2 linked regions of the Canis lupus familiaris genome follow. The protein of the gene in region 2 purifies or fractionates together with the protein of the main gene of each other region. This does not show direct contact. Links are inferred from orthologs where the notes say so. Each region holds a gene or a part of one and is shown on either strand. Other genes may lie near its edges. The genes, in order: ZNHIT6 and NUFIP1.

Region 1 (16,951 bases), on a different chromosome or scaffold from region 2:
GGTCTCTCTTAGAGTATGAAGATGGTAGAAGTGTGTCCATTATTTTAACAACAGTGTGAATTAGTAATTGAGCTCCAGTCCTTTTTTAGAAACTAGCCACTAGATGTCTCTCTTGTAAAGAAGTAACCTTTTACAGATTCACAAAATTACTTTTTTTCCTTTGGATAAAATCACAGCATTCTAATTATATCACAATAATAGACCCATCTACCTCTTTATTAATGTCAGTAGCACCTTTTTTCTTTTCTTATGAAGAATGGTGATACACTTCATAAAGCACAGTATTTTGTTTGCGTGATTACCTGTAAGTAGTATAGGTTTGTACTTTACTGCAGACTGACTTTAGAAAAGAGCAAAGGAAAATGAAATGACAGGTTTAACAGCTGTGGTCATGGGGGGGGACAAGTCAATTTTGCAGTGATCTAGTTTGGTTGAAGATTTTCAGAACAACAGCAGGACCTTAGAAAAAACAGTGGGAAAGACTAGAAACTGGTTCTTCAAATAGCCATTTCCTTACAGGAGCCGTGTAGGTAGTAGTGAGACGTTTCTGTGACATACAGCACCACAGAGGTTGTACTTCTCCGTAAAAACAATTAGCCAGCATTCATGGAACTAGAAAACACCCTTGGTCATCTTGGGGTCCCCACCCTGGTTCAGTTAGGGAAAGCCTTCCCTCGTCCCCAGGTCTACTACTTCATGATATGCCTCTGGCATGTATCTCTTTCCACTTCTTTCTCTGCCACATATATCAGACATATTCTCCCGTGCAGGCCACCTTGTGTCACCCTGGACTACTGAGGAACTTTTACATGCCCTCCCTATCTCAGTGTCTCCTTACTTCAGTCACTTGATACACTGCTGTCTGTCTGATATGTCTTTACAAAATGTGTTTTTGCTGTGATGGTCACTTGCTCAAAATCAAGGAGTTAAATCTAGGTTTAAGGATGGTTTTGTGATGAGGGTATCAGTTGCAAAAGGATAAAGTAGTAAATTTAAGACAGTGTATGTAGTTTGACGTGTCTAGAAGTTAGGTTGGGAGTTGGTAAGTGGTAAGAGATGAGGTTGGAGAGAGCCCCACTGGGCCTGGGCTTTGCAGGACCTTATATGCCATACCAGAGAGTTTAGACAGTCATACTTTGAGCAGAAAATGTTCCTGTTAGTATGAGGGATCCACACTAAATATGGGTTTTCATAGTCTGTCCCCACCTGATTTCCTCATGTATTCAACCAAGTATACACAGGCTGGTCACCATACTTAAGCCTAGAATGTTTTCCTCATCCATTATTTTCTAGCCATCTGTGAAAATACACAGGATAGCTCATCTTCTCCATTATTTCTTTTTACCACAGTTCTTATACATTTTCTCTACAGTTAATATGAAACACATGCTGCATTTAGTGCTGGCATTCATTTTTGGTATGCATATATATGTGTATATTTATATTACGTGTGTGTTGTGTATGCAGAAAGGAGAGTGTATATATCTCCTTTCTGCATTCTGGTGTGTTTCTTACTAGGGGCTCTGTTGGCATTTTGAACAGGACAGTTTTTTTGTTGTGTGGGACTTTCCCATTCATTACAGGAAGGTTAGCATTTTTGGTCTCTGCCCACTAAAATGCCTAAAGTGCTTCCCAGTCTTGGAACAGTCAGAAACTGCCCAGCCATTTCTAAATGTCCCCACCGCCCAGGTTGGTACAATTCCCAGTTGAGAACTGCTTTATTAAGTGCTCAAGTATTTATCAGTTATTTGAAGCAAAATGTACTTTTTTATTTCAGTCTTCACCTGCTATATCCATTTTCTTAATATACTGTCTACTAAAGCCAGTACCACATACTTAACCTGTTTCCTATTATTATTGTGTAGTGGTGAAACTAATTTTTGAAAGAGTAAAATGTAATATATAACTGGAACTTTTCAAAGTATTTTCATAATGATGTGAGACACATAAAATTATGGTTTTCATTCTCCCCAATTCCAGTAATTTTAATCCATGCTAAGTAACTACACAGATCCTTTGTATTCACTCTTCCAAAAACACTTATTATGGTACCAATCGTAATAAAATAGATGGATTATTTTTTATGAGGAATGGTTATATTTATTCTTGGGACTTTAAAATTTGCTCTTGAAATGTATTTTCAAAGATAAAATGCCTGTGAGTGAAGGATTATGTAGATGTTTTATACATTTGTTTTTTCCTTGAAGGATTTCAAAATTTGGTAGATTTTCTTTCTGCTTTAAATTAAAATAAGGTTTTATAACTGATGGTGGAAGAAAATGGTTTTCTCCTGAAATTCCTTCAGGTGTTATATACTGCTTCCAAATTTCATAAGAGTTAACAATTTATAGGCTATCTTCCTTTTCTACTGTTTCATAATAAAAGATGAAATCTAGAAAGAAGAAAACTTTAATTTCTTATATCAGGATGCTTGATGTTGCTTGAAATAGAATACCCAATTCAAACCAGTTTGAGCTGTAAAAGGGCATATTATTGGCTGTCGTAACTGAATGTCCTGAGGTAAGATGGACTTCAGAGTTAATAGATAAAATGACTCAATTACATCATCAGTGATCTAGTTTATTGCTGATTCTCCATTATATCTTCAGTGGTGTCAGCTGAATCCTCATGGTCATAGGATGCCCCCGGTAATAGTTTGAGTTGCAGTAAATATCCAAGAGTGCTTCTCTCTGAGCATCACTGAATAGAAAACCTGAAATTCACCACGATTGGACCTCTTAGGTCATCTGCCCCATCCTGAGCCATTGTGTCGAGGAAAACCTAGGATAGTGATTTTCTTAAGCCAACTCATAAGTGCATGTCCCTAGAGATAGGGAATGGGTTCCATTCATCAAAGTATGGTTATGGATTAGGAAGAAAGTTGGTGGTAATAAGAGATTACAAAGGAGGCAATTAAACTATAACTCTTATAAATGATTTCAAAATATGAAGGCAAATATGTAAAATATGACTGAGGTACATTTAAATTAATAGTACATAAAAATACATGGTTATTGAAGTTGCAGTTCTAGTAAGTTCATAATAGTATAGACGATTAGAGCATAGACTGGAATTATTGTACTGCCTGGATTAAAATTTCACTTCTGTCACTTTCCAGCTGAATAATGACCTTGAAATGGACTTTCCTCTTAGGGTTCTCATCTGTAAAATGAAATAATGTCATTCATCTTAGGGCTAGAAGAATTAAATGAATTAATACATGTAAACATTTAGAACAATGTCTGACATATTAAAAGCACTTAATAAACTATTACTACTATTGCTGCTTGCTAGTGCTCTCTGGTAAAAGGACCTGCTGGCAGGTTTGATAGCCTGTAGACTTTACTAATTTAACTAGTGGTGTAGTATTCTAAAGAGTAGACATGTGGAAATTCTAGCTTTAGCTTACTCCCATGGAATCACCTGTATTTAAAAATTAGAAGTAACAATTTTAGGCACATTTGAACTGACATGATATGTCATTGTGCTTCTCAAAAGTAGTGAGAGATATTTCCCTTAATAACTATAAACAAAAGCTGAAGTTAATGTCTTGAATATTTACTAGGAGAGTTAAATAAATAGTAGGGTGATTTGAGTCTGCCACTAAGCCCTTCATTTCATTCTTTTTAAAAAAACCTTTGCTGTTGGTGCATTAACCACAGAATAAAATCCATAATGTTTAACAGAACATTCAGGTCTTTTTTACAATCTACTATGAATCCAGATGCCCAGTTTCATTTCTAGACACTAAACACTAAATTCAGTATAAGCGCACTTTGGTTAGGAACTCATGGCAAAATATTCTTAAAGACTGTGAATATTTCTGTTTTTAAGCTTCATATTTCTGTTTTTAAGCTTCATAATTCAAGGTATTGAATGTAGAATTATTATAATGGCAATAACAGTAATTAACATTTTTTATATATTCTGAGCCCTTGAGATACATTTACTCATTTAACACTATGGTATAAATACTATTGTTATCCCCCATTTTACTGTGAAAAATCTGAATCACAGATACAAATCACATCAAGTTAGAAATTGTTGAGAGTAAGATTTAAGCACAGAGTCCACTTAACTTTTGCCCTGTCTTACCTCTGATCCTTACAGTACAATGAGTATTCTTCCTTTGTACAGTGTACATGAAGAACAAGGTTCTTTCATGTGGAAACTAGCCTCTCATAGCCATATGGAAAGGAAACACAGTGCCCAGGATTGGTGGTTGACTTCGAGCCTAAACAGAAGCCTACCTTGGGCTCATCCCCTTTGTTCACATCCTTAATGACTACTGGGCCTTTAGGAGTGTTCTTTGAATAAGTATTGGTTAGTCAGTGAGAGAGTGAAATAAAAGTTGGTGATTTTTTTTTTTTAGGAATAAAAATATTCAAGCTCATTTAAATTTTATATTAGAAATCTTAGTTCTTAGAATTCAGCCATCATATGTAACTCTTAGCTGTGGCATATTTCTTGAGGAAGATAGCTTTGAAGCTGTAAAAATTATTAGATAAGTAACCCTAGTTCTGGTTGGGTAATAATTTCTGAGATAAAAAAGGAAAGCTCTTAAAAGAACACTTCCAATAATAAATATTTTTAGGTTTAAAAAGAATGTTAAAATTAATCCTGTCCTTTCTAGGACTACCATCCTGTGTTTTCCAATGAAAACATTTTTGGGACACCTGGGTGGCTCAGTGGTTGAGCATCTGCCTTAGGCTCAGGTCATGATCCTGGGGTCCTGGGTTCAAGTTCCACATCAGGCTCCCCCACAGGGAACCTGCTTCTCCCTCTGCCTTTGTCTCTATATCTCTCATGAATAAATAAATAAAATCTTTTTTAAAAAAAGCATTTTTGACTTTGCTGTTTATATAAAAGAGAAATCATTATGTCAAAGATTTAATAGAGATATATAAAGTAAGAAGTCCTTTCATAATGGCAAGAAATAACTATAGTTAAGAGTTTGGGGCACATCCTTCATACTTGTAAACACACGCGTGGACATATTTTCAACATAAATGCCTTCATTTAGCACGTACATTTTTCTTCCCCAGCACATATAGTTCTGCCTCAACTTTTCATTCACTATCTGGATCTGCTCTAATGTATTTAATCAGTTCTCTGATGATATCCATTTAGATTATTTTTTATTTTTTTCTGTTATAAAGAATGACACAGTGGACATGAGCACATGTCATTACTTGTCCAATTGTTTCCTTGAAATAAATTCCTGGGAATAAAACAGTTGAGGCAAAAATATATATATTTCTTGCATTATTAATATTTATTTATAGCTGTTATGAAATTGAACTGCCAGATGCTTACACCGATTTATATTCCTCTCAGCAATGGAAAGTGTCCATTTCACCACAATTGCCTAGTATTTCTAATTTTAACATCATTTTTGTAAATCTGATAGGTGAAAATATTTCTACTTACTTTTGTTTGGTTATAAGTGAGCTGGTATTATCAAACTCTAACCATACTGCCTTGAGATGCCTAAGTTACCTAGGATATCAGGGTACAGTATTTCCATTTGTGAGAACATTGGTAATTATGGCAAGGACACAGTGACATTATTATAGTTGAAGGCATTTTGTTTAATTTAGGGAACAATAGTCTTAATATAGTAGGAGTAATAGTAAATGTTTTAATCTCTGTCCCAGTTCTCATTCAGTGGTGATTTTGCCTCCCAGAAGACATTTGCAATAATTGGGAGCATCTTTTGTTGTCCCAACTGGAGGAGTGGGTGTTGCTAGTGGCATCTCAAGGGATGCTGCTAAACATCCTACATGAGAAAATGTCTCCCTTGCCTCCCTCCTGTCCTGCCTTCCATAACAAAGAAGTATGTGATCCAGAATATTAACACTGCATAGTTTAAGAAAATTTGTCCTAGCCCAATAATTCTACTCCTTAGAATCTGTCTTTATAAAATAGTCCAAGGGGATCCTTGGGTGGCTCGGCGGTTTAGAGCCTGCCTTCAGCCCAGGGTGTGATCCTGGAGTCCCGGAATCGAGTCCCACATCGGGGTCTCTGCATGGAGCCTGCTTCTCCCTCTGCCTGTGTCTCTCATGAATAAATAAAATCTTTAAAATAAAATAAAATTAAAATAGTCCAAAATACAAAAAGGTATGCGTGTGTGTGTGTAATTGGAGCATGTATCACGATATATAATTATGAAAAGTGGGAAACAAACTTAATTCTTTGAAGAACAAACTGATAGTTACCGGGAGGGAAGTGGAGGAAGGTGAAATAGATGGTAGTGCTTATGATGAGCACTGATAGAACACTGCATGTTAACTACGCTGGAATTAAATTTAAAAGTTTAATTTAAAAAATCTTAATTATTTGAGACTTAGATTTGATTGCCCATGGCAACTGCATCAGTTGCCAACTCTAAAGAATTGGCAACAACTTCAGAGATAAATTAACTCAGCCATTTTGGGAATTCTATATACAGTGCCCTTCAACTTCTCTATGTCCATTCTTTCACTTAAGTCTTCTATTCTGAATTACTGTTTGCACATGCTTTTTATGCTACCATTAGAGTTAAAAAGTACAGGCAGTTTTTCAGTGAAGCTAACTTTTAATTTTGTGTACCAGTAGAGTTAAATGATAGACCCATTCATAGAGATAGTCTTTTATTTTTTCTTTACTGTAATTTCATATGGAAGAACAAATGATAAAAAATTGAAAACAGTCATAATGTCTATCAGTAGAGAATGGATAAATAGGTTTTGGCATTTTTCACAAAGTGAAATTCTGTATGATGGTTTAAATTAATGAACTAATCTGATAAATCTAAAGCATAATGTAAATGAAAAGCAAGGCATAGGATATTTAGAGTATGATAACTTTGAAGTAAGTGTTAATATTACATAAAATACTATATTGTTTATAGCTATGTATATATCCATAAAATATAAAACATAAAACCATGGATGGCGAGAATACATACCCAACATCAGGAAAGTAGCTACCTCTGATGATAGATGAGAAGGGAATTCGATCAAAGAACAATAGAAAGGATTATCAACCATATCAATAGCCTTCTATTTCTTGGAAGAAAAACGTATTTCAAATAAATATTGCAGAGTGCAAGTTTCTTAAGTCTTGAGTGTTGTTTATACTCTTTTTCTTGGTTTTAAAGTATTGCAAGATCACATTTTTTTAAGTAAATGTACTTTTCAAATTTGTTCATGTTTGAACTGAGACCAAATGTAGAAAGGTTTTTATAATCATAATTTTGCAGTTATGTTTTATATAATAAAACAGTAGTGAATGACTTCCCTACAACCACAGCTAGTTAACTGTAGCAAATAAAATTATTTCTAAGGGCTTTTCTTCCTTTGTTTTTGGGATGTTTAGTACTTTTTGAAGATATTTAGGGTCTACTGAATGTTAAGAAAGAAAAATGGTTCTTGAAATTACTTAAGCAATGATTGGAATAATTGAATATGATTTATAATTCCATAGGATGATGAGTTCATAATCTTTTTTCTCCCCTGTAATTTAACACAGAAAATACAAATATAGTTAAAAACCATATTATACATTAAGATTTAAAAATCAGTTTATTTCTTACTAAGAAATGTGGAATTGGGTGCCTGGTGACTCAGTTGTTTGAAGGTCCTACTCTTGGTTTCTGCTCAGGTCATGATCCTTAGGGTCGTAAGATCAAGCCACCCTGTGTTGGGCTCCACACTCCACTCAGCACGGAGTGTGCTTGAGACTCTTTGCCTCCTCCCTCTTCCTTCCTTCCTCTTCAGCTCCTCCACACCACACATGCACGCTCTTGTGTGTGTGCTCTCTCTCTCTCTCTCTCTCTCTCTGTCTCAAATGAATAAATAAATAAAATGCTTAGAAAAACAAAACGTGGAATCTCTAAATTTGATGATGTGATGCTCTGCCTATTTCACAGATAATGTACATTGCAGAGTTTTTGTTTTGGAAGAATTATTTATTTAAAACCAGGAACTGTTATATTTGCTTTCAGATTTTTTTTAAAGTTTTTTTTCTCTGAGATTTTAAACATCTGGTCTTTAAATTAGTAAAGTGTGCTTGTGGCTTTGTTCTATCGAAAAAAACAAATACTAAACATGATTGTTTCTTATATGGTAAGTGGTACTTTCAACATAAGCATAATCAAGCATATTTTTTTCTAGCTAAAGCCAAAAACTGTCTTGTTATGAAAGAAAACTTCTATAAGCAGATCTATGATAACTTACCCTAACAGAAGGATTTCTACTTGCTTTTATGGTTATTCTGACAAAAATTTGACTAAATCTTGTGAATGTTTGGTGAGAGCTACTGTACTAGATTGTATTTAAAGAAAATTAGTTGAGATTTTGGAGCCATACTACTAAGGGATAGATTTATAGTGATGCTGGTCATCTGCTTGGATGTGCTTTTGGCCATTAACTTGCCAGTGGATTGTTAGAAATTTCTTCTAAGTAAGGAAAACATGTAAAACCATCATATGGTGAAAACATTTAAATTTCTGTGTTGGATTCAATATTTCGAGCATACAATTTTTTAAAGGAATGGTATATAGTATCACCAAATTTAGGTATGCTAAATAGAACATATGGTCATTATGCTAAAATTAGCCATTTAGTGAATTATTACTGTTGACCCTGTATCAAACCAAAGTTTAGACCTGAAAGCAAAGGGACTCTAGCTTAGAGTGCGTTCTGCTTAGCAACCAACTTGTTGTCTACTGTTTTGCTACTGAATGCACGTACTCATGGCTCAGAAGTGTATCTGCAGCCAGCTGGTCACAACCAGACAACACTTCATTCACCTAATTTCCAGACTAGTTAGGCAAAGACATCAGCTCATTGTTTTTAGTCATAAGCAAATTTATTTGTAAACTTCGAGTAGTAGCACATTGATCTAAAAAACCCCTGAACTGTGAGACATTGCCTTCTAATTCAGGAATATAAAGTCCTTGTAATTTAGAACTGCTGCACTTAATTTTGTTTTCCTCTTAAAAATCCTTACAAGTATATTGTTTAGAAAACAACAGCTTCTAAAATCCTAGAAAAAAAGAAAATAGTAGAAAAGATACATTAAATTCTGAGAATACTTTTTGAATAGTTATCTGAAAATGAAAATTCAGGAGGTTCAATTTGTGCTCAGACTTTTATTATCTAACTTGGTCCTCATAAGATTATCTTCTAATTTAGGAAACAACAGTTTTGTTGGCATGTGAAGCTCCAGTTTCCTCAGAGTCAAGCTGTGTACATAGAAAAAAGGTATAGTATAACCACTATTAAGAGCTTCTTTGTTCTTACTGTGTTTTTGTATTTAAAATAACCCTATTAACTTAAATGTGGTATCGGTAAATGTATGTCAGTAGAATGGATAATTAAGTTGTTATCTTAATACAATTAAGTGCTCAACATTATTGAATGAACTACAGCTACATACATCAACATGATCTCAAATGTTGAATGAGAAAAACAAGTTAAGGAAGAATGCCTAGAGTGTGATTATGTTTGTAAATATAAGATGGTGTACTTTTTAGGAATACTTGCAGAGGTGGTAAAACTCTAAGGGAAATGATTAGCCACAGAAGTCATGATGGTGTTTATTTCTCCAGGCAGAGCAGACATGAGGAGAAAGATGCAGAGAGACTCGAGAGGGTTAAAAACTTTCTTTTTGTTAGAGTTGAGTGTTAATAGAGGAAATGAAAAATGACCCAAAATTCTATGCAAAGATTATCTTGGGCATGTATATGTGTATACTCAAAATTGAAATTAATTTATATAAACAGCTTTTTGTCCTTTTTTCATATTTGCACATTTTTAAGTATTCTTTAAAAATTTTAATGGTTATGTACTATTTGGTTCCTTGGCTTGGGAAAATTTTACAGTTGCTTTTTAAGTAATAGATTAACCGTATATTCACATTTTGCATAAGCTTCCTCTCTTTATAATTGTCATGGGGATTTTAGTGAAGTGAAGAACTTTATTATTTGAAGTTGTATACCAGACTAAAATCAGGGGAAAGGACTTAAATTTTATAGATGGGGGAATATAGCACAATAGCAGATATGAATATGTATAAATGATTGAAGAAAGTTACTCATTCAGAGCAGTGTCTTAATTTTGCTTTTACAGATCTGTAGTTCAAAACAGTTTGCGTATTTACCAGAAAGTTGAAAAGCCTGAAATACTTTGTTTCCAGGGAAAGTAGAATCAATTTTTTACCCGGTCTTATGATTTAGAATGAATAAACTGAACATGCACTGAAATTAGCATCGTTTTCGATCTTTTTTCAGATTTTATATTTCTGCAGCTTTCAAATATATTTCATCCTGCATTCTTTCTTCTCATCTGTGAGCACAGGTGTGTGTTAAAAGAGGCTTCATATTTTTATAATTGATTTATAGGGACCTTCTCAAAATATTGCTTTTTAGGACTTTTTAAGTGTGTCCAAGAAGTCTTTTTGAGCTTTTTTCCTAAGTAATTTTTGCTTTAAAGGATGTTATGTTTTGCCAAGAGTAAAATAAAAGGTGTGTGTTCAGTCATTTAAACAAAAAGCCACAAGATTTAGTAATTCCAAGTTAACACCTTTAGTAGAAAATAAATAATAATATGTTATTGTTTTGTTTTTTTGTTGTTGGAAAGAGTACCAGATGATAAAACTATTAATGAAATCCTAAGGCCTTATATTGATCCTGAAAAGTCTGATCCTGTAATTCGTCAAAGGTATGTCTCAAAAATCTTATAATTTTCTGAAATTATTAAAAATGTTGATGTACTGGTTATGTGCATATTAATTATGTTAAGTTAGGACTTTATTAGACTGTGATTATGTCAATGCAGTTTACTTTCTGTGCCATTTCCTTGGTGTTTACTCAAGGTTTTGTCAGTCATGGATGATGCTTTTGGATAGTAATAAAAACAGTACGTAACACTTAGTACTTACTGTTTTCTAGACATTCATTAAAGCAGATGATAAATATGTATTAATTAATTCCTCACAGTAACCCCTTAAGATAGATTACTGCTGTCATACCCATTTTGTATATGGGGAAACTAAGCCTTAAAGTGGTTAAATGACTTCATATAGCAAATAAGCAGGGAAGCTGGGATTTAAATCCAGGCAGTCAGTAGTGAGACTCTGCACTGTTAACTCTTAAATCAAACTTCTTTAAAATGGAATAAAAAACTAAAAATTAAGAGTTTCCAAGTAACTGTTAAAGACAGGAAATTCTGTTTCAGCCAAGTCTTCATAAAACTAATTAAGATACACTCTGCCTCCTGTCCAGAAATATAGTATCGACAAAAATGGTTAATGTAGCATAGTAGAAAGATTCAGTTATGAATATCTGGGCTAGAATAGCTCACTCTGTCCCTTTTTAGCTATGTGATCAGGAGTAAGTTACTTAACTTCTGGACCTTAATTTTTTATCAGTAAAATGAGAATGTTAATATCCACTAGATAAGGTGGTTTGAAGCTTTGGAAAAAAAAAAAAAAAAGCATATATCAAGTTCCTAGTACAGGGCCTAGCACACAGTAGGCAGCATTTAAAAAGAGAAACTATTATTAGAATGTGAATTAGTTTTCCTGAGCAGGAACCCACTTGACTTTGTTTTCGCCAGATGGTACCTACTTGGAATATGAATGCCTGGTTTGGTTCCAGTGTAACCTAATGTTTCAATGTTAGACTGGGTGGATTCTAAAATGTCTGATTCAATTCTAGTTAAATCTCATCTTCTACTTGTAATAAAGGTTGAGCCCAGACTGAACCAGATCCGTGACCCATATCAAGTAGTGTCTTTGGTACACATATAGTGGTTGAATTTCTTTCCTTCTTATTACTGATAATTCAGTTGTTATCATTGGTCATATGTTTGGCAAGAAGACAAAGTGTCACTAAATTGAATACACTTTTTAAAGATAAATAAAATGGCAAGTTTAATTTAATTTACTTAAATAGACATTTTTAATCTAAGATACTATACGGAGAGAAGAAAGGTAATTTTTAAAAATTCAAATCCTTCCTTAGAAAATATCTTTAACCCCTTTTCTGTGCTTGGATAGTTGGATTTTAAGTATTATTAGCTACTCATAAATGTTTAGTCTTCCATGGATACTATCTTGAAATATATTAAAAATCAGTTTTGTTTCCTTCAATATGACATTTTTATTTCAGGTTGAAAGCCTACATTCGCTCTCAGACTGGGGTCCAAATTTTAATGAAGGTTGAATATATGCAGCAAAATTTAGTAAGGTAAAATTGCTTCCCTCCCCATTTCTTTAAATATTTTCTAATTCTGTAATATAATTAAGTAGCCTGATTAGCTTAAGTAGCCAGTTATTATACTAATATGACTTCCAAATTAAAATTTTAAAATAATCACACTTAAAGGATAAATTCAGTTGAAATATTACTAAAGTTAAAGTATCTTAAAATAGCATTATGAACAAGTAAAAGATTCCTAAATCCCATTTGAACTTACTTCAAGAAATATTCTGGAGATGCCTGGGTGGTTCAGCAGTTAAGCGTGTATGCCTTCAGCTTAGGGCATGATCCTAGAGTTCTTGGATCGAGTTCCTCAACGGGCTCCTGGCATGGAGCCTGCTTCTCCCTTTGCCTGTGTCTCTGCCTCTCTCTTTCTGTGTCTGTCATGAGTAAGTAAATAAATGTTTAAAAAAAAATATTCTGTACAACAGAGTTCTAATGTTCAAGTTTTTGCCTTTGGAAATACAAAAATTCATGTGACCAACTGAGCATTGCATATATTGCATTCTTTGCAGAGAAAAGTAGAAAGAGCCAGGTTATAACAAACCATATTATTTGAGACAGTTCTTTACTATGCTCTGTTCCTTAATAGAGTGGTGATACAGACTACACCAAACCATCTCTGAGAGTTCTGCAAAGTCTACTTTTGTGCCAGTTATGTGTCAGCATACTGAATTACAAAATACTGATCTTTGATGACCTTTGATGCTCTTCCATTGTTAACAAAACTACCAAAGTCAATTCAGACTAGATCTGGTCAGTCTCACCTATGATTCGATTTGTTAACATAGCTTAGAGGTTTTAGGATCCAGGCTTTGAAAGCAGAGCTGGGATTTCAGCCCAGCTTGCCTGATTCCAGTTATGTTAACTTGAGTAAATTATGTAACCTTACTTACCTTAGTTCCCTCACCTTTAGAATAGGGGTGATAATAGTAATTATAAGATTGTCATGAGGGGTGCCTAGGTGGCTCAGTCAGGTAAACATCTGCCTTACGCTTACCTTATGATCTCGGCTTGGATCCTTGGCTTGAGCCCCGGTTCAGGCTCCAGGGAGCCTGCCTTTCCCTCTCCCTCTGCTTGCCGCTCCACCCCCCCTTCTACGCAGACACGCGTTCTCCTTCTCTCTCTCCCAAATAAATAAAAATCTTAAAAAAAAATCCTCATGAGAGATTATGATAGTTCATTCAGCACTTGGTAAGTGCATGCTATTATTATTACTATGAATACAAATAAATGGATTCTTACAAAATGTCTACACATAAGATTACAAGACTTAAAGCTAAGAACAGATTTAAACACCAAATCTTGACCACCTTCTTTTACCAGCATGTCGCAAATACCCTCAATTTCATGTCATTGATCATGGTTCGGTGATGAAAAATTCAAGTTTTCTATAACGTAATTTTTCTCTAGACTTCTTAATTCAGTATATTTACATGCAGTTCATGCTTTAACTCTCCTCCTTCCCCCAGAAGATTTGGGGCCTTAAATGAGAAATGGACAGAAAGTTTTGTGGGTTTTGCAAAGATATTTATTCAGAGTTATAACATCCATGTTAACCAAAATCAGTATTTCTGAAATTGATAATCAGACATTTATGTAATTAGTGAGAAATACTGACATAAAAAGTGCATTTCAGTTTTACTTAGCAAAATCTTAAAGTAGATTTCATACAATTCATGTTTAAACAAAACAATTTGCATCATTCCCTTGGAATTTACCTCCTGTCAATCATTAAGTAATTTTTCTTTTTTTATTATGTTACCTCGTTCAAATTCAGTTCCTTAAAAAAAATCAGTTCCTTTCTTAACATTTACTATATTTAGTTAATTCTTGTAAATGTTACTTAGATTTACATGATGCACTCCTGTGGCTTCAGTTGTATAAGCCTGTTAATAGAACACTTTTGAGGGTTTTTATGAAAAATAAAAGTGCTTTTTGTATAGTTATCTCATCTCCTCTTCTCTAGGCCATGGGACTAAGATATACTCTCCCAAGTCTTCTCCTAACAGCCTGCTGACGTGTCCAGCATTCTAACACTCGTGCACCACATTTATCAACTCCTTGTCATAGACTGCACTGCCAGTATGGGGATAACATGTAAATGGCTCCAGAAAAATCGTAGAAGGGAGACAGTAAAAAGTGCCACCCATCAAACTAAATTGCTTCAGTTATTGCTTCATCATTTCCTTTGTTGTACTTATCAGACCTTGAATTATTACAAATAGCAGCCATTGACTATTTTAATGGCTGCATAAATGCAGTTGTTTTCTTAATAAGTATGTATTTGAAATACCATATTGCTTTTCTAGACTTAATAAAAATATTTATTTTGGTGAGTTTGGGCATCGTACTGGACATGGTCGCCTTATTTACCTAAACTGTTAGGCAAATAACTAATTTTCTTTACCAAAGATAAGGGAAACTACCTATATCATTTTGGTACAACTGCAAAGAACAAAAGGTTTGGATTTATTTTTCTTTTTTAATTTTGTTTTAGTTTATTATGGTTTTTATTTTGTTTCTTTGTTGTTCCCATTTTTATTTCCTTCATTACCAGAAAGAGGGTTTGGAATATTTCCATTTTAAGGCAAACCGAGGAGTGGCTAGTGAAGAAAGGTGCAAGCTCACCAAGCCAGTCAAACTTGACTCTTCGGCATAGTATCCTTGTCTTCCAAAATTCAAGGAAACCAAAATTGTATGTGTTAAAAGATAGGATACTGAGTATTTTAAAGTTTATAATACAGGACATACTGGGCTCAGATAGCATTCATTTTTAACTTGGAAATGTGTACTATAAATGCCTGAAGAGGCAGAGAGGATGGAGATTTTGAGATGGAGATCTCAGCATGTCCTGGCAGACCAGGGTTTTCCAGGAGAGTGGCTGGCAGAAATGCCTACAGCATGGCATGATCCAGAGAGGAGCAGTTGGGAAAATCATTTCATGGAGTTGCATAGAAAGAAATCAGGATACATTAGAGACCAGAACACAGGAAGATACCAGTCAGATCAGAAAGGTGTATTTTAACAAAAAGGGTAACCTGAACCCCAAGAAAAGTAAAAAAAAGTGCACTGAATTGAAGGTCAAATGACCTAATTCTAGGTACTCACCTTCTCTCTGCTTCATTTTCTTTTAAGGTCCTTTATTTTCTCTTATTTTATACTTTATACTTATTTTATACCTGAGCCATTCTGAATAGCATGAAAAGTATTTTGACTTTATCTTATTTACGTAAAAAAGTTGCCATCTGCATTTCCCCATTTGAGTTGTTTATTTGAACTCAGTGATCTATGAAAACATTAAAGAACAAGAAGGGGAAGTTTATAGCCTAGATCCTCAGAAACTCCAGTGAAGGAGTTTTTATCCTAAGTTGGGATAAAGTACATCATATATTTCTGATTTATTAAGTGAGCTTCATGATACAGTTATCCTAATTTCTGTACAACTTCACAGTTTTCAAGTATTTTCTAATCATGAATAATGAAATTAGATACTATGTGAATACATTTAGAAATAGATTTTCATTTGATGTTTTTAATTAAAGATTTTCAATCAGCGTTTTTCAGATAATTCATTCATAGATAGGATAAGATGAACGCTTACATTTGATTGTATATTTAATTACATTTGTATCATTAAAGGAAAGTACATTAAAGATTATTAAAGGTTTTAAAACATTAAGCTTCTAATATAAGATAAGCATGCTAAAATAAGAGGATTTTATTATTTCCTAAAAAGTGCTTATAAGGCAGAAACATGTAGTTTCCTTGTGGCTGTTGATTTTAAATGTATTCTACAATTTACAGCATTCCAGTGACTCCAGAGTAAAGTCTTTTTACCAAATTCTTGATGTTGCCAGTTTCCACTGGCTGTGTTTTCCATTCTTAGAGGGTTTATGACCGTTGTCTCATGATATACCTGGTCAGCTAGAGCAATCTTAAATGTTTCCCAATTTTTAGCTTTGCCATACCTGACTTTTGTTTTTAGATTTAGGGGATTATAGAATCCATGTCTAACCCTAAGGAATTTGCTGCTGATCTGTTTGGAGTTTTCAGAATACACGGTGTTTGAATTTGTGTTTTCTTATAAAAGCTAATATGACTTCTTAAGTAAATTCATGTATTCATTCACTTGCAAATGGTGATTCTCACTGTGGTCCAAGTATCATTCTGGACATTAGAGCGAGGAGAACCATTCCTGCCCCTGTGGAGCTTACATTCTCAGTGGAGGAGAAGTATGAAAGGTGCTTGTTTTAGTGGAGCACTCTTTATCTCTTGCCATTCCATTTCTTCACCAACTCTATTCTTAGAAAGTAACTGAGTAGTTTTGAAACAAAACCCATGTTGGTAATGTCAGGTACTATAAGAGGCGGTCATTGTATTTGCTGCTTTCTCAAGTTGTTACTGACTAAAGAATTTAGAGTAATCCCAAGTTTGGTACTGTTCATTCAATTGTAATTTCCCAAATCTATATTCTATATTTTACTTATTAAAGGAACCATTGATTTCCCATAAAGAAGTTAAGGTATATTTTGTTAAGTTTAACAACTTTGTTGTTTTGATATTTATATAAGGTCATTTTTGGTTTTGGGTTTTTTGTGTTTTTTTTTTAGGATTTATTTATTTGAGAGAAATAGGGTAGAGCAGAGGGAGAGAGAGTCCCAAGCCCGCTTCACTGTAAGCGCAGAGCCCAGCATGAGGCTT
Region 2 (16,951 bases):
TGACATCCTTTCTACCAGAGAAAATGAATAGGTCATTCTACCAAATAAAAATCACATGCGGCTTATCGATATTGTACAAGTTAACACCAGACGTTACATAGTCTGGGCCCTAATCAATCAGTCAAACAAAAAGGGTCAGTTAACCATTAGATGGATTTGTTAGATACTGCTCTAGTACAGTGACTTCCCAAACATTTTAGTCTGAGGACTCCTTTACACTCTTAAAAGTTATTGAGATCTCCAAGAGCCTTTGTTTATGTGGATTCTATTTGTTAATATACATAGCATTAGAAATTAAAACAAAATTTAAGCATATTAATTCACTTAAAAACAACAAACCATTTACATATTGACATAACTTTTTTTAAATCTCTATTTTCTAATACAAAAAATATTAGTGAGCTGAATGGCATCATTTTACAGTTTTCCAGATCACTGGCATTTCAAAAAAATAATTTATTGATGACATTAATTCAATAATTACAAGGTTACAAAGACTATAACAGGCATAACTAAAGATAGCTAATAAGAGTACTGAGAACGTGAGTTAAGCTCTAAAAACTCATGTATGTTTATCCTCAATCTACCACTTTAGAAAATTCTAGATCACACACGAATACCCAAGGACACTTCCCATTAGCTGTCACATATTATATAGCATCACATATTATATAGCCTTTGGAAAACTCTATCCAGTCATAAAAAGAATGAGAGTGAAAAAGGCAAATGTCCTATAATTATGAAAATAGTTTGAATTTCACAGACCCCCCTCTAAATTTAGGGTACACTTTGGGAACCAATGATCTTGTAGGACACTGAAAGGGTATACAGGAATCTATTTTCCTTATTTCAAGTTTCGATATGTTTTCTAAACATATTTTTAATAAGAATGTAATTTAACATAGCCTTTTAAAGGCATTTGACCTGTGAGCCCAAGACTCCTACAGAAATACTCATAAACACACACACATATGCATACACAGAGTATCACTGTAAATTCAGTAGTGTTCACTGCAGTCTCATTAACATTGGAGAAAAACTGGAAACAAATTTCCCCATAGGGGAATGATTTACAAAGTGAAAGTGCATATATGCATATGTGCATATATTTACATATATATAAATATTCATGACATAATGTCAAGTGAAAAATTTGCAAAGCAATATCTATCGGCCACCTCATCACAAAATTTATATAAGCATATTTAGGTATTTGTAAATATATGTATTTTAAAAGTCTGGAAATACACACCAAACTATTAGCAGTGATACCTCTGGGTAATAGGATAAGAATAGTAGAGGGCAAAACAAACCTTTTTTATCTTATATACAACTGGATTATTTGAATTCCTACAATGAGCATATCGCTCTTGTCATAAAAAAACAACAAAATGAACAAGGCAACTGAGAAACACAGTGACTAAATACAGCACAGTATCCTGAACTTAATCATCAGAAAGGACACAATGGAAGACTGGAGAAATCCAAGTAAAGCCTATAGTTGAGTTCTACAAATTAAATAAAAATATAAAAATAACCAGAAAAATGTATAGACACTAAACTGCAAATACTTGACCCAGGCAATGGTGGTATTGCCCTCAAATAGCCAGAGATAAAAGACTGCTGGAAACCACAATAATGGAAACTTTCACACAATCTATGAAAAGGGAAAACTATTATAGGTTGTCCTGGGGGTGCACAGAGACACATTCAAGTCAACAGGTACAAAAGACCGAAAGAAGACCCAGAAAGCGTTCCAAACACTAGCCACAGGTTGTGTTTCACAAGGGTACACTGCTCTGCAGGGCACAGTCTAGGGCAACAGCGATCAAGAACAGAAATTTCAATTCAGGTATGTTCTGCATATGTCTTCTTTATTACTCCATTTACTCACATTTACTAGTTTTCTCCTCTCCCAGTTTTGAAATAATCAATTCGTACGTGCCTCCCAAGAAGCCCCCAGCTATGCTAACAGCAGACTGTTTTGGAGCAAGTCTGCCCTCTGAAGCTCCAGCTTCCACATAGCAGAAGTGGCTTCTCTTCTCCCAGAGCGACCATTCAGTCCACATCAGCCTTGCGTATGGGGCAAATAGTTACTGGACAAAGGAAGTCAATAGGGCAGCTTTCAAATGAATATTAAATATGTGGCAAAACCTGCCCTGGTCTGTTCCTTCAGCAGGAACAGTCTGTTCCTATCTTCCTCCACTCCACTCTCACAACAGTAGTAGCCACAAGCTCTACTACAGTTGGCATGGCCATTTTCACAATTAAATGAAGATATAGCATCCATTTCAGAATTTAAAAGGTCTACTACTTCATGGAGAAAAGGAAGGTGATAATAATAGTAAATACAACACAGGAGTTGAGCAAATATTAAATATGTCCAATGTATATTTTTCTAATCTGGCATTTGTGATAAACAAGGTATGAAATGAAATACACATAATGATCTCAACTATGTTATCTTAACAAGTTATAGAAATTTAATTTGTCTGATTGGATAGCTGATGGTCTTAAGGAATTATTAATTGTAAAGATATGGTGGGGATTTTTTTCAAGTCCTTATCTTCTAGAGACATATACTAATTATACAGGAATAAAGTAGTAAGATGTCTGGGCATTTGCTTCAAAATAATCTCAGGTGGGGTGGGGAGGAATAGGTGAGTTATAGATGAAAATAAGACTGTCCACAGATTGATAAAGCATCGAAGCTGCTATCTGATAGTTGGGAAAAGGGGTATCATTACATGATGCTCTATACTTTTACATAGGTTTGAAATTCTCCAAAATGAAATGCTTTCTAAAAAGCCAGAAGAAGAATTTTTTTAAAAGATGCTTACTCTAAAACAGAATATAATGAATGAAGAAATTAAGTTAAAAGTAGATTAAAACAGCTCTTTTTATGTCTCTTTATGCTTCAAATTCCTTGAAGTGGTATTTAAAAAAAAATAACTGGAGATTACAACAGGGAAGGAGTACAAGATAGAAGGTAATATTGGGGTGCCAGTGGTTTTGAGAAACTTGTAAGTTCCCCACAGTGGTTCTTAAAATGTGGTCCTCCAGACAAACCTCAAAAGCATCACCCATAAACCTGTTAGCAATGCGAATTCACAGGCCACATGCCAACCTCCTTAATTATAATTTTTAGGGGGTAGGGCCCTGCAACCTGGATTTAACAAGCCCTCCTGGTGATTCTGGTGTCCATTAAAGGTGGGGAACCACAATAAAGCTGATCAGACTGATAAAAAGCAAGAGTGGAAAGCCTCAGCCCAAACCGGCCCAAGAGACAACCGAAAGATAAAAGCAATCCCAAGGATACACTAAGCTGAGTGTACACATGACAGAAAGGTGGACGCCTCCAGCTGTGACCATCAAGTCTTAACCTTGCCCACCTCCAAAACCAAATGGTTGGTGGGAGTGGGAGAGCTCTGCCCTGGAGAGAAGAGGTCTATCCTCAGAATAAGAGGTGAAGGTGAGGATGGGACAAGAGCAGAGATCTGCCCATTTCCCATCCATGTACTCCAAACAGTCTGCGTGAACAAGTCCCCGTTTCTCAGTCAAGGTAAACGTCTTTTTTTTTTTTTTTAATATTTTATTTATTTGAGAGAGAGAGAGTACAAGCAGGGGGAGCGGCAGGCAGAGGCAGAGGGAGAAGCAGGCAACCCTCAGAGCAGGGAGCCCAACGTGGGGCTCGATCCCAGAACCCCAAGGTCATGACCCGAGCCAAAGGCAGACGCTTGACCAATGGAGCCACCCAGGTGCCCCGGTAAGTGTCTTTTGAAGAAGGCTCATGCCAATGTGGGGAAAATACACACCCAATCACCAATATATTAATCAAGTGAATATCATATGTAAGAATGATCCTTTAAAGAAAACAAATAGTGTAAAGATAATTAGTAAACTGAACAAATTAAAACAATGGAGTTGGCAATGGAGAATACAAGTAATTGAAGGAATAGAAAATAACATGGAAATTCCAACTGATATCCTCAGAAATGTAAGGATACCACATCAATGAAAAAAGCAGTGAGGCCAAGAAAGCCATCTTGAATATTTAAAAACAAATTACTAAACTTAAAATGAAACAGAAGCTAAAATACTAATGTAATGGACATGCCTGAAGAGGGAATCAGTGATCTGGACATTAATATCTGAAGAAGTCTTCCAGAACAGAGCAAAAAGCCCAAGACAAAACATAAATGTCCAGTGACAGAAGATCAAGGCAGGAGGTCCCACACTCAAAAAGAGTTCCAGGAAAATGAAACAGATAAAATGGAAAGAAAATCATTAAAGAAACCATTTTAGAAACTGTTCTTCATCCAAGAATGGTACAATTCTACAGAGTGAAAGGACCATGGGGTGTGACAAATGTCCCACACACCTAGACACATAATGGTAAAACTTCTAGAGCTCCAAGCATAAAAAGAAAATCCTAAAAGCTTTTCAATGACAGAAAAACAGGTTTTTATCAATAAATAAAAAGAGAAGGTGAGAGAATTAGATTGGTGTCTGATTTTTTGAATCAGCAATACTGGATGCTAACAGACCATCACGTGAATGCTTCAAAATTCTGAAGGGAAAGGATTTTGAACTTAACACCCTAAACTCAATTAAAAAAAAAATTCAAATGGAGGATTCAAACTGATGGATTAATTACCTGATGATACACTGCAGTAAACCAAAAAACTAATCTTGGGATGAAAGAAAAAGCAGTGAGAAGGAAACAGTAATACTTGTATTTGTCTAAATAACTACGCATACTATTAAAACACACACAAACACACACCAAGGTAACAGAAATGAATCCAAAACAAATCCCACACGATGACAGAAGGAGATGTCCAGGAAGGGAAGTGCTACGATGCTAACGGAGAGAAATGGAAGATAGGGCCACTGTATCTACAGACTCAGAGAAAAAGATAACCACTAAAGGAACAGCAATAGGTTTAATTGTCTTCGAAGCACTAGAAAGAAAAATGAAGAGAAAAAAACAACAATCATGCCACTGAAATGCTGAAATAAGATACAAAAAAAAAAAAAAAAAAAGGCTAGGATGGTCCCTCCAAACATTTCAACAATTTCAATTAATATAAGTGGATTAAATTCCCCAGAGGCTATTAGACTGAACTCCCAAAAAGCTGTTTTGACTACATTAATTGAGGGAAAATAGGTCAATGCAGAGAGTACTGAGGACAAGAGTATTTCACAGTTATAAAAGACACAACTCACCACAAGTCATCATATAATGCTTTCTTTTACATTCAGAAATCAGTTTGTTATACGAACAGTTGGACAGGAATGTAGATGGTATGAACAATTAACAAGCTAAATCCAAAAAAACCTTGTATCCAAGGGCAGGCACCCTTCCCCCTGAAAACACTCACAGAATATTTACAAATATTGACTGTGTATTTCATAAAGTAGAAACCACATAGGCTATATGGTGCTTAGAAATTAAATGCACTTGAATTCCTGGGTTAAATATAAAGGCAACTGAATCTGAAATTACCCACTAGAAATAACTGACAGTCACTAGAGCTCAAGACGGCCAGATATAGACAAGGCAATACTCAGAAGAGCAGTTTCAGTCTTAAATACATTTATTAGAAAACAAGAGAAATTGAAAATAAAACTTTGTACAATATACTCTAAAGCAGTGATTGTGAATATCCCTGGAGTTATGGAGGTCTGTGAAAGCAGCCTAGGAGTCTGAATTCATTTAGTATTTAAAGCCTATGGAACTTGCATGCCAGCCTATGATAAAACTGCAGAGTAAGTCAGATTTTAGGATATCAACCCAGTGTATAACGCTGGTTACTTCATCCTGATGAGATGAATTGGGTTAAGAGTCACAGCTATGAATAATGTAAAAATTAAACTGAATCCCTTAAAGTCAGGCAAGCCTCATTCATTTTTCTATTTTTAATCCATGTATACTGGCAGCACATAAATAAGCACTCAACAGTGTTACATAAATTGAATTAAGTAATGTGCTGGACAGATAATTTTCTAAAACATGGGATTCATTGCAGGAGGAGAGTTAAACAGAATAAAAAGGTCTGTATGGTGGGGCAGCCCAGGTGGCTCAGCAGTTTAGCGCTGCCTTCAGCCTGGGGCATGATCCTGGAGACCCAGGATTGAGTCCTAGTCGGGCTCCCTGCATGGAGCCTGCTTCTCCCTCTGCCTGTGTCTCTGCCTCTCTGTCTCTCATAAATTAAAAAAATCTTAAAAGAAAAAAAAAGTCTGTATGGCAGTTACAAAGTTGGGAAACACTGACCTAAATATGAATTTTGATCTTTGGTCTGTAGTATCATAGCGTTATATGCCAGGTGTTCCCGGATTCTGGATAGGATCTTATAAATATAGGAACAAGAGATCTTTCTTCAGGGCTGCCATCAGCTTTCTTGCTTGCCTTTTTCTTGCAGGCAAGACTCATGGACTTCAATAATCACAATGTTAGAAAAAATTCAATTTTTCAACCACATCAGATTAATTTTCTTTTAAATTTAAAAAAGGAAGGCTCCAGTTCTAGCTAGCACAAGCGACTAGGACATAAGATCAAAACCTCTGATATTGGGACACCTGGGTGGCTCAGTGGTTAAACATCTGCTTTCGGCTCAGGGCGTGGTCCCGGGGTCCCAGGATCAAGTCTCGCCTCCGGCTTCCTGCAGGGAGCCTGCTTCTCCCTCTGCCTGTGTCTCTGCCTCTCTCTCTGTGTCCCTCATGAATAAATAAATAAAATCTTTAAAAAAAACAAACTCTGGTATTAAAAAGACTCAAAAAAGATCTGTTTATTTAAAAACATTTTAAAAGGGTTCAATTAAGAAATATGCTCAGTTTTAAATATTAAAACTGAGGTTTTACATTATTTCACGAACTACAGTTTTTGCTACAAATTAGATGGACCTCATCAAGTACCATGCTTTACATTTGAGAAATTAAAAAGGTCCAATTCTGAACCATACCAAAAAGAAGCACTTCCAGTGAATCTAAACATACACAGAGGCCTTATCTATGTCAATATTCCAAACATTCAGTATTTGAACTACTTAAATAGTGTCAATAGGTGAATTTCCGAATGTCCTTGGAAATAAACTGGGAAATTTTAAATTTCAAGACCTTTTGAGTGTATTAATTTGATATGGTTTATTATTTAAATAATCCCCCTTGCTACAGTTAAAGGATGATTCTCATTTTCCTGCATTTAGACAAAATGACGGGGCAGGTCGGGTGGCCCAGCAGTTTAGCGCCGCCTTCAGCCCAGGGCGTGATTCTGGAGACCCGGGATCGAGTCCCACATCGGGCTCCCAGCATTGAGCCTGCTTCTCCCTCTGCCTGTGTCTCTGTCTCTCTCTCTCTGTGTCTCTCATGAATAAATAAATAAAATCTTTAAAAAATAATAAAATAAAGACGAAATGACTGTACTTCTCTCCGTAACCTACAGCTTTGCTCAATTATGTTTGCTGAATTAAACATTTTTAAGGTCTTTTTCTTTACTACTAACCCAATATCTTCAATTTTTGACTGGTCCCACAGCAGACTTCCTTACCTGACAGCAATAATACAAATAAATATAAGTAAAAAGTAGAACTCTACCAGCAAATATTAGGCAAACCCCAACAATAGAGACAGAGTCTTAAAACCAGTTATGTATTTATTTGCATAGATTCAAAGGAAAGAATTAAAAATCCAACATAATATTTCATAAGGTCTACAATTATTAATCCAGTTGTTTTTTTTTTTAAAAAAGGTTTTCCTCCACTAACTTTAGGATGGGCCTATTTCACATGAGTGCTGGTACCTATACATCTTTAGTTTTTGCAGAATTAGTATTAAGTCCAAAAAAGTCCTTTTTGATGATGTACCGAACACACTGTAAAATCACATTTCTTTCATGTCGAATGTCTGGAGCTAAAAGCTAAAAAACAATAAATAAAATGATTAGCTGGTAAATAAAATATATCCAGGAAACACAATCTAAAATATTATATATACCTTCTCCATATAAAGAATACAGAATAAAGATATATATTTATAATAACTTATATTTATAACCTATATATAAATATATATTTAAATCATTTCACTAAAAAAATAATGCAAGAACATTTCCTCTTAACTTACACCAAGACTATCTAGTTTTTAAACAGCATAAATGTTCACATTTTCAGTCCTTTCTAGGAGTATCTAAACAAAGGACAGGAAATGTAGGTTTAAAAGTCTGTAATTCTTTAACCTACAAATCATGTCAAAGAGGACCCTCTTAAACCTAAACCTACAAACAGTATAGAAACTTATAAGCAGATACAGTAAATATAGTAGTGATGAAACCAGCAGTAAAAAATCCCAACAGTCCTGGATTTTTACAACTTTTCATTTTTGTGCCTGTTGCAATTGAAGGCAATCTAAAAAAATTCCTGGTATTTAGAAGAAATACATAACCAAGGAATCATATATGATTTGCCAAAAAGGGTAAGATCATTCAATTTATTTTCTGATGTTATTAGTTTAGAAACATCACAGAGGAATGAACGTTCTGTGAAGAGATGATTTAATTTACCACTTACAAGGTATTTTAAAAATGCAACTTACTTTATATAAACACTGAAATTTATAAAATAAAGAGTACACTTCAGATCAATTCAAATAAGAAGCAACTGGGTCTCCATGTAACACCTCAAAGAGGGTAGCCACAGAACACCTTAGCTACAGTGTAAGCATTTAGCTGACAGGGCAAAAAGGACTTTTCACACACTGTCAAAAGTTCTAGGGGATCCCTGGGTGGCTCAGCGGTTTGGCGCCTGCCTTTGGCCCAGGGCAATACTGGAGTCCCAGGATCAAGTCCCGCGTTGGGCTCCTGGCATGGAGCCTGCTTCTCCCTCTGCCTTTATCTCTGCCTCTCTCTCTCTCTATGTCTATCATAAATAAATGAATAAATCTAAAAAAAAAAAAAAAAAAAAGAAAGAAAGAAAGAAAGAAAGAAAGAAAGAGAAAGAAAGAAAGAAAGAAAAAAAAAGTTCTACAAGTCTAGTAAAAATTTTGGAATATTTTTCTATTACCCTTAGTATGAAAGAACTGGATCTTTGAACAGCTTCATGTCCATTACTTAGAATCAAAAGATGTGCTGCTTCCTCTTAAAATGTGAAGAAATAAGATTTTTCAGCACATCACACTGAGAATAAAGCCAATAATGCACAAAATAAACACATAAAAACCTCTTCCTCCTTTTAGTCTGCCATTGTACTTAGCTGTGCTTTCAGTGAAAACTTTAAAAATGTCAGTACACCTTAATACATATTTCCTTATCAATTAAATCTACAGATTCTTTCATTTTTAGCAGTTTTAAAAAGTGTAATGATTCCACATTTACTAAACATCAGCTATATGCCAAATGCAGCTTCAAAATTAAGATACACAAATAAGTCTTCAAAGAATAAAGGTCTTTGGTGAAGTTAAAAAGCATGCATGCATGAACCCATGCAGAAACCCAGTGGCTCTGGCTTCATCACCTGAGAAGAAAAGAGAGATCAGAATGTAAAGAAAAGTCACTTACCATTTCCAGGAGATATGGATGGTGTGTCCTTGGTTCAAATAAGGTATGATAGTTGTGATAATCTTTTTTCCTCTTAGGGTTTGTCTTTTTAAAACTTTTCTTTGGGCTCCTATAGTTTTTAACAGTCACTTTAACATTGTTCCTTGATCTCTTAGGAGTATTGTTATGAAGAACCTCATCTTCCACCAGAATGTCTGCTTCAGTCTTAATGGGAGCTTCTAAATGTGATGAGAACAAATACAAAAACAATAAAAAAACAGGTAAACTTCCAAAAATAACCCAAAAAGTCATAATACTCCCCCCAGTAGCCATAATCCTGGCTACTTATTAATAAAAACTAGGCATTTTCAATGCAGTACAGTATTTTTCAGATTGGAAATATAACTGCCAATAATTGAAGAGATTACCACAAAGAGCTGCAGGAAGTGATCTCGATGAAGGAAATAGTATCAGATGGAAACTTGCATCTACCCAAAGGAATGAAGAGTGTCAGAAACCGTCAATATAGGGGTAAATACAAAAAGACATTTTTTTCTGATTTGAAAAAGGTTTTAAAGATAACTGACTACTCTAAGCAAAAATAGAAACAATGTATGTGGGATTCATAACACCTGTAGGAAAATCTGATAACAAGAGCATAAAGGAAGGGAAGAGGAAAATGTAAGTATATTGCTATAAAATTCTTAAATTACATATATGAAATGGTATAATACCACTGAAAGTATATTGTGATAAGCTGAAGCTACATACTATATATAGACCAACTCCTAAAAAGCAAAACAAAGAGGTTCAACAAATAAACCCATATTTACACTGCCCTAATAATAAGACAGCATAAATCCAAAGGCAAGAAAGAAGGAAAACAGAACAAAGACAAAAAGAAACAGCCATATCAATAATTACAATATATATAAATAACTTAAACATCCCACTTAAAAGGGTGAGTGGTCAGACTGGGGGAAGAGAGAATGTGGGGAACAAGATCAACTACATAATGTCTACAAGAAACCAACCTTAAATTGTTGGCAGTTCTTGCTTTGCACAAACAGAACGGAGATGAAATCTCAGTTATCAAGGAAGTATGAAGCAAAGACTGTCTGTGACCAGACACAGATTAAAAGCAAAAGGAGGAAAGAAAATACCATACATATAGCAATCATAAAAAAGCTGGATCGGCTACATCAATATCAGACAAAGGAGACTTCAGAATAGGGACCATCACCAGGGACAAAGAAGGACAGTTCATAAGGATAAAGAAATCAATTCATCAAGAAGATAAAACAGTAACACCTAATAACAGAATTTCATTATACGTGTAGCAAAAGCTTAAAAGAACTGAAACAAGAAAAAGACAAATCCATTATTAAGGTTAGAGACAATTTTAACACTTTGCTCTCAGTAACTGAAGAACAATTAAACAGAAAATGAGCAGGAATATAGAAGACCTGAGTACCCTAACAACTCAAACTGACAAACACTCAATCCAAGATACGTTTTTGTCAAGTTCACATAAACATTCACTTGTGCTAGGCTATAAAACAAGTCTCAATAAGCTGGAAAAACAAAAAACAAAAAATGCCTGGCAAGTGTACAAAGTATGCTCTCTGACTGTAACAGAATTCAAGTAAAATCAGTTAACAGAAAACTATCTAGAAAACCTCCAATCTCTGGAAACTAAACAACATATGTCTAAATAACCCATGAGTTAAAGAACAAATCATGAGATGTTAGAAAATATTTTTTAAAAAATAAAAATGAAAACATAATGTAAATTTATAGGATGCAGCTAAAGCAGTGCATGGAGACAAATTTATAGTTTTGATTGCTTTTATTAGAAATAAAGAAAAGCCTAAAATCAATTATCTGAACTTCCACTAAATCAGATAGTGAAAAGAGAGGAAATAACAGAGTGAAAAATCAATGAATTACAAGCAGACAATAAAGAAAAATATAAATAGAAAAATCAGAAGTTGGTACACTCTAAAAGATTAACAAAATTAATAAACATCTAGCAAGATTGAGCAAGAAAAAAAGAAAAAAATACCATTTAATAATATGAGGAATCAAAGGGGGGATATCACTACAGATCCTACAGATATCACAAGAAAATATTATGAACAACTTTATGCCAATAAATTTGACAACAGAAATGAAACAGATTTTTTTGAAAAACACAAATTACCAAACTGAACAAGAAAAATCAGAAAATCTGAATAGTCCTCTACCTATTAAGGAAATTTAATTCATAATTGAAAGTCTACCCCCTCCTCTAAAATGCCAGGTACAGATAACTCCATTACTGAATTCTACAAATAAGACAAAATGGTAGCAATCCTACACAAAGTCTTAAAAAAGAGGTGGAGGAAATAGATCCCACTCATACCAAATCCAGACAAAGTCATTATAAGAAAAGAAAAACACATCCTTCATGACCATGGAGGTAAATATCTTTAACAAATAAATAAAGATAGTAAATAAATATCTTTTATAAATTATTAGTAAAAGACCAAGTAGATTTTATTTCAGGAATAAAGGTTGGTTTGATACTTGAAAATCAATCAATATATTTCACCATATTAAGAAGAATAAAGAAAAGAACCATATGATTAGTTGAAAACTGACAAGTTTTAAGGATCTCCTCCTCTCACTCCTAAAATGGTTATTCTGTATTTCTGACAAGGTGATATGATATAAAGAATTCAATTCTAGAAGGTGGGAGACTGGGTTCAATTGCCTGGACAAGAGTATAGGAATCTAATCATATCCCTCAAAACCTTCAACACCCAAGTATTACATAAGACCAAATGTGATAACTACCTTTGAAACAAAGTACAGGGTAATAAGTCTTAGAAGCATAAATCCTAGTCCCAAACTGTTAGGTTCAAGTTCTAGTTTCATCACATACTAGTTGCGATCTTCAGGCAAGTTACTTATCTCTGCCTAAATATCCTCACAAATAATGGCACCTGCTACATGAAGTTACTGTGATAACTAAATGAGTAAAGCACATAAAACAGGACCTGACCCAGAATCAACAATATATAAAGAATATGCTATGACAGGGGTGCCTGGGTGGCTCAGTCAGTTAAGCATCTGACTCTTGATTTTAGCTCAAGTCATGATCTCAGGGTTGTATGACTGAGCCCCCAAGCCAGGTTCTACATAGCATGGAGCCTGCTTGAGATTCGCTCTCCCTCTCTACCCAACTCAAGTGCACATCATGCACACTCTCTAGCTCAAAAAGAAAAAAAAAAAAAAGAATTTGCTATAATGATAGTGGTTTTGATGTGCCCTCAAAGTGATAGAAAAAAGAAAAAAAAATCAGAAATGTAACCATAAAAGGAGCAAAGAATTCAAGTGGTTTATAGAGTTCAAAACTATGAGAATAATAACAAAAGGCAATAAGAAAAGACAGAGTTCTAATTTCTATTTTTCCCTTCCCCTTCAAGTATTGGTCTTCCAATCCAGGAATACAAAAGTCAAATGAATCAGAGCTTACACTGTCAATTTTCTGCTAAGGAACGAGGAACCAGAACCATTTATATTTTTCTTGAGGCTCACAACATTTCCCAGCTTAGTATCATATTTTAATGCAATGTTTATCAATTCAAATAAATTTAAAATATAACCACTGCACTTTTTCAAACCTATAAATCCTTTTTGGCATGTGGTCTTTAAACATGAGTTTTCAATGGAGGACCTCCAGTCACAGCCCAAATCATTTTGAAAAAACAACAATTTTGGAGAGCTATAAAACTGTGCTTAACTTCTAACATGGCAAAACAAAAACAAAAAACTAACATGTAAAATCTGGAAGAGATTTCAAACTAATTGATTTGGAAATATTACTCATTGAAATTTTCTTTCCTATGTATAGCTTAATGATTTTGAAATCCCCAAAGCCAAGCTTAGCCTCTTGTTTTGTTTCAGTCTTTCTTAAGGGACTCCTTCCTTGTTTAAAACTGTTTCTGGAAAAAAAGCACAATTCATGTTTAAAATCCTCTATATACCTGTATTAACTCCTAAGTTGAGATAGATATTAACTAAGATGATACAATTGTTTAAATCTGTGAGGAATCAGAATGCTCCCCTCCATTTAAAATCCACTTAAGTAAGGAGCCTTCTAGATGCTATTTCATAGCTCAGAGAAAGCCCACTTTATTTCTTTGGTTTATTTCTTCCAAAGTCCCTATGTGTCAATATGCTATCCTACAGCCCAGAATTTACAATGGAAGTTGGAAACTTGCTAGTGACCTGGATGGCTCAATAAAGCTGAATTCAAACTACATAAAATAATTCTTAGGCCTTAGGAATGTGAAGCAAAGGCTTTTTCCTTCAAGCAGGGCATTTTAGACAATCAGTAAAAATAAATTCATATAAGGTAAAATTTATCTTTTAATAGACAATATCTTGTTATCTTTAAGAAAAGGCTATGCATTTCTGTTCAGGAAGACAGTAAATGTAACACAGAGAATGCCTAAAACGAAAGTTGGTGTTTAAGATTTTTCAGTCCCAAACCTAGGCTTTACAACAGCTCTGCCACATACTAACTTTGCAAAGAAGTTAAGCTTAAGGTTCCATAAATGAAGGAGTGGAATCTCAAAGATCACTCCCAGTTTCCTTTCTTTCTTCTAATTTAAAAATGGTGGCAGCCTCAAAATTAAGACATGAGAATGAAAGTATTAAATGTTTCATCTTAAGAGAGAGAGAGAGAGAGAGAGAGAGAGAGAGAGGAGAGCATTAGTGCAACTTGTTTTTATAAAATTCAGTAATCTGGTAATAGCTTTCATTGCTATCACCCGTCATAAATACAAGCGATAAGCAAGAAATGTAATATGTGTTTAAAGAATAACTCCATCTTCATATCAGTGTACTGGAAACAAGAGTAAAGAAATAAATACTGTTTTTCTTAAAATTAAAATAAAAACAAGAAGAGGCAACCATCAGTTAAGAAATACTCTGATAAGGCCAAAGTAGTTTGTATTTCAAAATTCAAGTAGCTTTTAACCAGCTACCACAGTAAACCACGGTCCATTAAAAAAAGAAGAAAAATCCCTATGTTACGGATACATCTAAACATTATCCTTCATATTAAATCCCAACTCTTTCTCCTTCAACATCTTCCAACTACAGAGTGATTATCTCTAATTTAATCAACATTAAAAGTGCTGCCATCTTCATCCAATTACACTCAAATCTTCCTTTCTTTTTACACACTCACTTGCAGACCCTGTACTCTTATCTTCAGTACAGCTCCTACTGTGATTACACATCTTGTACAGAGACACATACACAGGAATTCTCTCATGGTTGGTAAAGCCCAAATAAATTCACCATGCAGAGCCAGGTTTCCAACAGAAGGACACAGACTTATTCATTAAACAAATGCTGATTATTTATATGAACCTTGGGTTTATAATTGACACATTAGATTAATAACATAATAACTCTTTTAGGTGACCCTAAAAAAAGACGCTACGTTAAGCTGGTTTATTATCATCTTTAAAGGTCAGACATGTATCCTGCACATCACTGACTCCTCAGAAAAAACCTTGAAGGAATTCCATTTTATCCAGTCTTTGAAACATACAGGCTAACTCAACCACAAGCACAGAGTTATTGTGTTCTCCAAATGAGGCAATTTATGTAAATATGCTCTATAAAAAATAACGTTCTATATACATGTAAGGAATTCTACCATCCACTTTGTCACAAAGGACCTCTATTCATCTACCAAAGGTGCTATAAACATGTTAAGACAAGAATTGAGAGTAGGAAACAACAAATTAACTTTCTTTGCTGTATCTTTTAGAATTGTCTTTGATTCCATTAATGGCATATTATCTCTTCCCTTTCCTATTCTGTCACTGTATTATTTTTGCCCTTTTCTCCCAGGCTAACAACACATTTCCTCATTTCTCCAGCTTTCCTTTATCCCATGCTAACATCACTTCTGAATCAAATGAAAAATATGAAGATTAAATAAACAATGCTCTTGATACATTTTGTCCTCAGAAAGACATACATGAAATGATGCTACTGATGCACAGTATACATCAAATTCAAAGAGCAATAAAACAAACCTATCAACTGAGGCCATGACTTACCTTCTGGCTCACTCTCTGACCCTGAGAGACTACCATAGCTGCTCATTAGTGAGCACAGGGCTGGTGTCACTTCCTTGGGTATGACCGTACTTTGTGGTTTCTCCTCTTTATCAGATTCTGAAAAAAAAAAAAAAAAACAGGAATGAGATAAAACAGTATACCAAAAACATCCACCACCATAAAAAAGAAAGCTGACAGGTCCCCTACTCCTTATATGTTAGTGAAAAGAAAGTAATTTCTGATCATTTCCTTAATCTTTCCCAAAAACAAAATTCAGGAAACTTGAAATTTTTTCCTTGGTTTATTTACATCTTCATGGTCAGAGAAGCTACTTGCCCCAAAGAGAACACAGAAGGCCAATGGAAGCTATATACAGCTTAGTTACTTACCATGCTTCACACATTACGGAATTTGAGCCTTCTCTAAGTTAATTATACAGTCTTTGCTAATTAATTTATTTTACCTTATTAGGCTATTATGCTATTAATTAATTTTATTAGGTAATAGGAAGGCCAAGGCCAGAAATTTATTTAACTTCACTGGATTAGGAATAAATAATAAAAAAATATCTACTTTTCTTGTTTTTAAGACTAAGTTTTGAGGGCACAAATAAAATTTAACCATTCTATATATAAAAGCTTAGTCAAAGACTTATGCTGAAATGAATTCACCCAAAGTTTTTATTATTTAGAACTTCTAAGAACTTAAGTAAACAAGCCAAGCCAGAGAACTTAGCAAGTACCAAAGAGCCTGCCAAAGGTAAAGCGTTTGATCAGAGCCCATGGAGCCTAGTTGTAGCCTCAGGACACCACCTATTACATTTGTTTTTGGCAGCTCTAAAAATGTATTACATTTAGTCTAAACAATCAATAAAAAATAAAGCCTGACTGAAGAATGAAGACAGGAAGTAACCTGTCTATGTAATGTACCGGCTCAACCCCCAAGTAATATGAAACATTTCAAGACAGCATTGAACATTCACCAAGTCAGTCTAGGGGAAAACAAAACATGCTAGTAGAAATTGGGGCTATACTTCTATGTGAATATGGAACTGCACATACTGGTGGATGAAGTTAAATCCCCTCTTCTCCACCCATCCACCCTACCCAGCACCATACCCTCCAAAAACTGCTCGTCAATTTTAAGGTAACTTCTCATCTTTTCTTATGAATTAATAAAGAGAAAGAAAAATATGCAGTTTATATATAAATTACTAGTGGACTAAACAGAATCTACAAAATATTAATATGGAGACTGTTCATCTCATTGTTTATTTTTTTTTCATCTCATT

Evidence for each region.
Region 1: the proteins of NUFIP1 (region 2) and ZNHIT6 purify together in Homo sapiens (affinity purification with western blotting; 3 studies listed by BioGRID and IntAct, with this or other methods). This does not show direct contact. The link is inferred for Canis lupus familiaris from reciprocal best matches to the Homo sapiens genes NUFIP1 and ZNHIT6.

Annotation. Positions count from the first base shown.
Region 1 is NC_049227.1:62,901,379-62,918,329, forward strand, and holds part of ZNHIT6 (box C/D snoRNA protein 1), read left to right. Parts: intron 1-9,179; coding exon 9,180-9,248; intron 9,249-10,276; coding exon of another isoform or gene 10,277-10,337; exon of another isoform or gene 10,338-10,352; intron 10,353-10,625; coding exon 10,626-10,706; intron 10,707-12,157; coding exon 12,158-12,235; intron 12,236-16,951. UniProt on the Homo sapiens protein: Required for box C/D snoRNAs accumulation involved in snoRNA processing, snoRNA transport to the nucleolus and ribosome biogenesis.
Region 2 is NC_049243.1:6,042,385-6,059,335, reverse strand, and holds the end of NUFIP1 (nuclear fragile X mental retardation-interacting protein 1), read right to left. Parts: intron 15,778-16,951; coding exon 15,661-15,777; intron 9,772-15,660; coding exon 9,554-9,771; intron 7,919-9,553; coding exon 7,802-7,918; 3' UTR 6,767-7,801; downstream 1-6,766. UniProt on the Homo sapiens protein: Binds RNA.